2 linked regions of the Kluyveromyces lactis genome follow. The protein of the gene in region 1 purifies or fractionates together with the protein of each later gene. This does not show direct contact. Links are inferred from orthologs where the notes say so. Each region holds a gene or a part of one and is shown on either strand. Other genes may lie near its edges.

What was found.
Region 2: the proteins of MCM10 (region 1) and PSF2 purify together in Saccharomyces cerevisiae (affinity purification with western blotting; 3 studies listed by BioGRID, with this or other methods). This does not show direct contact. The link is inferred for Kluyveromyces lactis from reciprocal best matches to the Saccharomyces cerevisiae genes MCM10 and PSF2.

What each region holds. Positions count from the first base shown.
Region 1 is NC_006037.1:50,593-54,536, reverse strand, and holds MCM10 (Mcm10p), read left to right. Parts: upstream 1-1,455; coding exon 1,456-1,543; intron 1,544-1,626; coding exon 1,627-3,272; downstream 3,273-3,944. Other genes in the region: MLP2 (Mlp2p), read left to right, coding at 1-1,233; KLLA0_A00550g (uncharacterized protein), read right to left, coding at 3,296-3,944. UniProt on the Saccharomyces cerevisiae protein: Required for DNA synthesis. Required for entry into or completion of S phase. Involved in DNA replication and seems to participate in the activation of the pre-replication complex (pre-RC) and in transcription elongation.
Region 2 is NC_006040.1:557,974-560,789, forward strand, and holds PSF2 (DNA replication protein PSF2), read right to left. Parts: upstream 1,231-2,816; coding exon 625-1,230; downstream 1-624. Other genes in the region: ARG2 (acetyl-CoA:L-glutamate N-acetyltransferase), read left to right, coding at 1,553-2,816. UniProt on the Saccharomyces cerevisiae protein: Functions as part of the GINS complex which plays an essential role in the initiation of DNA replication by binding to DNA replication origins and facilitating the assembly of the DNA replication machinery.

The sequences.
Region 1 (3,944 bases):
GATAGATTGAATGCCTCCAAGGAAAAGGAACAATCTTTATCATCAGAAATAAACCAAATCAATGAAGCTAAATCTCAAGTGGAGGCCGATTTAGGAAAATGTAAGACCGCTTGCAAAGAGTTAGAAGAAAGATTACAAGTGGTAACGCAAGAAGCAGAAACAAAGGAACAGACTTTTAACTCTCAATTATCTAAATTGCAGGAAGATCTACATTCTATTCAGGTTCAAATGGAAAATGCTTCCAAGACCGAACAGAATAATGCAGATTCAGATGAAAAAATAAAATCGTTGACTGAGACTGTGGAAATGTTAAATAGTAAAATACAGGAGCTTGAAGCCGAAGCCTCCAACGCTCAAAAAATAGTAGCTGAACATCATACGCCAGTTATCAACGAAGACACGAAGTCAATAGTGGATAATTTGAAAACAGAATTTGAAGCTGAAAAAGAACAATTAATAAAAGATAAAGAAAAAGAATTGAGGAGCAAGTTTGAGGCAGAAAAAGAATCTGCTTGGAATTCCAGAGAGGAAGAGCTCCGGAAACAGTTTGAAGAAAGAGAAAAGAGAATTCGTGAAGAGTGCGAAAAGACTACTGTCCAGTCTCCTTCGCAGCCTACCTTGGATATAGACATCGATGCTTTGAAGAATGAATGGGAAAAAGAATATGAGAAGCAGACTCTGGAAAAAATTAAATTAGCAGAAGAAGCCCTCAAGAAACGGATCAGGTTACCTACTCAACAAAAGATTGATAAAATAGTTGAGGCAAGAAAAGCTGTTTTAGAAGAGTCCTTTGAAGAAAAGGTAAACGAAAAGGCCCAAAAATTGGCAGGAGAGATCGGAAATGATGCCATTACTCTAGAAAAGCATCGTGCAGAATTGAATGCACTTAAGGATTCCATGCGTAAGCAATTTGAAGCAGATTTGGCAGAAATAAAACAAAAATCTTTCGAAGAAGGGAAACAGCAAGTTTCCTTGAAATTGAAATTTTTGGAAAGCAAGATCAGGAATTTAGAACAACAAAAGTCCACAATTAAACCTGTAGAGAATGACACTTCTAATATGAGTGCAGCATTCCAGGCCCCTGTATTTGGCTCTCATTCAACATTCACTAGTCCCTTCTCAACGTCAGAAATTTCTCCTAATAAGAGACCCATAGACGACACCGCAACAGAACAGCCTGAGAAACGTCACAAAGAGCCTGAAAGTGATACTGAGGATGGTCAGGAAGCCTGATTCTCCAGACGATTTTATGGCTGTTAATATTACCGAAGTTCTATTTAATTTTTTTCTATTATGTATCATTATTTGACCATTCGTTTTCAACATGTAAAAAATACTAGTATTACTTTCCACAGATATTCAAACGAGAAAACAAAATAATGACATCCCACAAGTAAAGAATGAACGAGAATAGTTACAGAAGCTATCGAGTATAGGTAACAGTGAAGATGCATCATGTCATATGATCTAACTGACCCGAGAGAAATTACGGCGTTCGACCCGTACGAGGAATTATCTGATGATGAATCTGAAATCGAAAGAGGTATGTTCTAATAATAATGGTTACCGAGATCAATGACATTAGAATATCCTACTAACATATTATAACCAATCATTAAATCAAAGTGAAACGAAGAATTGTTGAAATTGACACTGAGAAACGAGATTTAACTAACCGGCTGTTGGAACTAGAGAAGAAGAGAAACCTCAAAGACCCTAATTTCGATTCTATCGACGTTCCAGAGTCTCCTAAGAAATCAGATAATGCTACAAAAGGAATAGAGGATATCAAACATATTGCGCCAGTAGCAGATATAGAGGAAGCTACATTTAATGTTAATGAGGATTATGTAAGGGAAAAGGTCAAAAAGTTGGGTACCACTTCTTACTTTACTGAAAAACTTCGCTCCATCAATACAAATGAACATGAAGCGATTAAAAGGAAGAAAGAATTATTGGCACATCGAGTTTACACATTCAATGGCGACATGTTCGATGAATATGAACCAATTACTGTTGATGAAAAAGATGATTTGAGTGGTCTGGTTATAGACAGAAGGTATGTACCGTTGGCCGTACTTAGGAAACATACTAAAAACATAAAAGTGCTTCGACTTCCAAAGCTCTTCAGTAAGGTGAGAGCCCCTAAGTTCTCTGAACCTGATTATCCCAATTGGTTGGTATTGGGTATCATCTCAAAGAAAACTGAACCAAGAATGACAAATTCTGTGAAACCGGTGAAATTCTTCAGCCTAACCATAAGTGATTTCCAATTTGAACTGAATGTTATTTTCTTTGGGAAAAGTATAGTTGAAAAGTATTACAAACTAAGATTAGGTGATTTGATTGCTATACTTAACCCTGAAATAATGCCTTCCAAGAAACTGGAAGCGGGAGCAAGCCCTAGTTACGCTACATTTTCGTTAAAAGTTAGTAAAGACACCAATAATATACTGGAACTAGGTCACAGTAAGGAATTCGGATTGTGCCAATTTTACATGAAGAACAAAGGCAAGCTATGTGGTGCGCCAATAAACAAATTGCATGATAACTACTGTGCATATCATAAAGAGGCAAAAATGAGGCAAAACAGTTCTAGAAGAGTTGAAATTAGTAGCTCTGTGGCAATGAGAGCGCCAGTTGTCAAAGGATATCAACAGACTATTGTAAAATCACAACACAATAATGGTAAAACATCCATAAGATATCAACAAAATCCTGATAAACCGTTTGTACGAGAACCGGCAGCTGCAGAGACCAACAGATTCCTCTTCAGTTCTGCAAATGCCTCTACCGCGTTTTTCGATGACGACTACGAAAATCCTGACATACTGGCCAACCTTGATAACAAAAGACGCAAAATTCAAGAACTCAGAAACAATCGAAACTTGGAGAAAAAGTTAAAGGGTCTATCCGACAAATTGTTGTCAAAGAAGGAAGACCGAGTCAATCAAGAAGCAAAAAAGACTGCGACGTTGAGCATGTTCCAACATGGTTTAGCGAACCAAATTGGTTATGACCCAACAAAAGGGAAAGCGTCTTTAGAGATGCTTGAATATTCTACAGAGAATAAGGCGCCAAAGAATGATAAACAGCTGGCGATAACGGATATTTGCAATATAAAGAAAGATAATGTTAGCCTGAAACCTTCGAAGAAACAATTGAAAGAGAAAATTGAAAAGAGAAACGCTATCTTCAATGAAATAATGAAAGGCAGCCAAGAGCGGCTCGATAAAGATGAAGGCTCAAGTGATGATTTGGAAATTATATAGACAATAATGTAAGGTTTAATATATTATAAAGAATGTAGTACTTTTAATGATGGCTCCGTACAAGTCTCAATTCTTATCGTGGATGGTGGAGTATTCTTTCCCTCTAACTCTAGTAAGTTAAGAAGTTGCCCATCACAGCAAACTTCAAAGTTGCTCTTTTGTGACGGATCGTCTAGTACTTCGACGTTAAAACAAAATGGCAGTGGTCTGTAAAACGTTCCATTCTGTAAGATGTTTGAATGCTTCGTATTTGAATAACCCATAAATACCCTTTTCTGGAATTCTACTCTATCCAGAGAAGACTGGTATGCCAATACATGTAGTTGTGATTCCAATGGATCAGAATCGGGAGATGGCATATAAGTTGGCTCCAGATTTGTGGTATTTATTAACGCAAAATAACTAAAAGATCCTTCCAGAATATCGGGAATAGAGACGCGAGATTCGAGCTTGTATTCTCTTAAAATTCGCTGGCTAGCAACTCTAAACCTTTCAATGCCCATTTTCTGGTACTCATCTTCTTCGCAGAGATGAAGTAAATTTGCATGAAATCCCAGTGACAAAATTATGAAGAATTTAAGGACATAACCGTTGTCAAAAGTTGCCCTATACAACGGGAAATCGTTGCAGGACAACTTACCATTGACAAATTGTGAGAATATGACAGCTGGA
Region 2 (2,816 bases), on another chromosome or scaffold:
TATATATATATATATTATAAACATGCTGAGCTGTATTTATGACATGGTACACAGAGTTACGGGTAAAATGTCTTCGTAGCGGGAAGTTATCAACGCAACCATGCTGCTCTCTATGAGTTCATCCTGCTCAATTTCTACTGTTATTGTTTTCTATCTACGGTAAATTCTTTTCCCAACGTAATATTGAAGAAACGTGATTCGTTTCCGTGTTTGTGTTCCCCCCTTGTGTCGTTTTCTGTAAGTTATACCCGTAGTTCAATGCAAGGAACCGAAATAGCCTGAAGAACAACAAATATGATGAAGCAAGAACGTGGGGTGCACACGCAAGGCATGCCCGCGAGGCATGTTTGCGACACAAACGTAAATAAGAACTAAGCAGTGCGTGAATGTTCGGGATGGATCAGTTGTTTCGAATTACTACAAACTGTGAAGCGGGTACATGTAGGGTATGTAATATATGTGTTATTTGATAGGCCTGTACTTACATGGTAACCCGACCTTTTCTAGTGATTATGGTCAACTGTGTTATCATATAACCATGTAGGTTGGATTAAGGGGAGGGACTGGTGGAAACCTCGTGAATGGAATTTTGGATTCAATGGGAAAAGGTTATTATATTATTGATCACGTGGTGTCATTACTGGAGTCATGAATTGTCCTCAGTTTGTCCATGATACCACACGCATAGGGTCTCATCTCATTGATTTCCATCAAGGACAAGTTCTCTAGCTGTAAATGCGATTCGTTCAGGTACTGCAAACCCTTGTTGACTTTTCCCAAACGAACTTCTCGCAGATCTTGGACCTTAGATCTCAGTAGATGAACTGGATCCTGAAAATCATCGCTGCATCTGGCAAACAGCAGTGACGATACCACTAGCCAATTCCAGGGTAGATTGGAGAATCGTGATGGGTTTTTCAATTCAAAATCTAAATACTTCTCCAGCTGTTGTAACGTCAGCCAACTGGGTACCACGACGTTACACTTTCCCTGTTGTTTTAACAGTAAAGCCAGCCATAACGTGACTTCGCAACTATTCATTGCAACCATGTTATTTACCGTAGAATCATCGCATGTGATCAGTGACCATTGGGCGCCAGGATCCTTCGCGAGCTGTTTTTTGGTCTTCCTCGTAGTGATTCTGGGCATAATTCGTGTCGGTTCATTTTCAATTAAAAACTGTATCTCTTGGGGAGAAAATCCTATTGATAGATCTCTCGGTAGTGCCATCTCTATTTCAGGTTGGAGTTGCTAATCTATAGTGTCCTCAAGCTCACTACTTCCTTACATAGTGCTTTCAATGCGCGACTATGACCAATCGATATCTGTGCTTCAATTATTTTTCCATGTTCAATCTTGACATTGAAATCCAGCACAGGAAAAACAAAAACAGGAAAGACTAACTAAAGCTTTAAACTGGCAGTTTTCTCTGATGACTTGACTCATTGATAAAACTAGAATAAATGATGGTTTTATACACTTTCCATATTTGCAGATAAATGGTTTGATCTCATCATATAACGTCCAAAGGCACATTTTGTGGGCTAGTGCTATGATCAAAACATGGATTAGGTGTTTGACCACAGAGGTCAGATACCATCAACCTAATGCTCATGGCAGGAGTTTGGTTATGAGCGTTTTGAATTCTACAGTGACTAAAAGGGAAGCGAAAGACTATTTGAACAAATATACCGATGAGAATAATCATCACTACTGTCTTGTATTTTTGAGACATTTGTCCGAATATTCAGATAACGTACTTAGTGGGTTTAGCAAGACTGTGTCAAGAATTCAAACACTCGGACTAAGACCAATTTTAATAGTAGACCCGCTATGCCAAGACATATCATACCAAAGTCAGCGTTTGGACAATCATTTGCATGATCAGAGTCTGAAGTCAATAATCGTATTAGATCCCATTACCATCGGTGAACGTGGCTCAATTGACGTAAAACTTCCGATTTTGAACCCGCATATTATTCCGATTATTGAGCCATATCAGTACCATGAGAAGGAAGCTTTTAAGAAATTGGCTGGCGATCCATCTCGATTCTTATCATCTCTAGTGAGTAACTTGCCCATAAATATCGACAAGGTGTTCCTTATCAGCAAGTATGGTGGATTGCCGTCTGTGGAAAGACATACAAACAGCCATGTCTTTGTAAATTTGTCACAAGAATATCGAGAATTGAGAAACAGTTATCAAAATCAATTGGAGAAACTAGAATCTATTCAAGTGGATAATACTGAGAAGAATTTGGTAGAATCTCTACAATTATTTTTGAATCAGGATAAGATTCTTAGTAACAGCGATCAACTGAAATGTCATATGGAAGACCTTGAAATCATGAATAAAACGCTATCAGTTCTACCACATTCGTCTACTGGGCTAATTACCACTATTTTAGCAGGGTCCAAATTATCAGATAATAACCCATTGGTATATAATATCTTGACTGATCGTTCATTGATATCGTCATCTTTACCTCGATTCAAAAGATCGGCTGCGGCTCAATCGAAAAGCTGGTATGAGCTTCCATCTTCCAACGTGGAAGAGGAAGTCACTTCCGCAAACGATTCAGTTCTTGTGACTACAGTTTTCAAGAAGGGGATTGATATCCATATATTTGACTTCAGGACTTTGACCGATGATAATTCCATAGGTCTACCACCATCGCAAGCTACTCAAACTGGCAAATCTGACCCAGTATCGAAAAAACTCGATTTGAATAAACTGAATGGGATAATCAATTCAAGTTTTAAAAGGTCATTGGACCTATCACATTATCTCGGCAGGATCAATGGTAACATAGCGA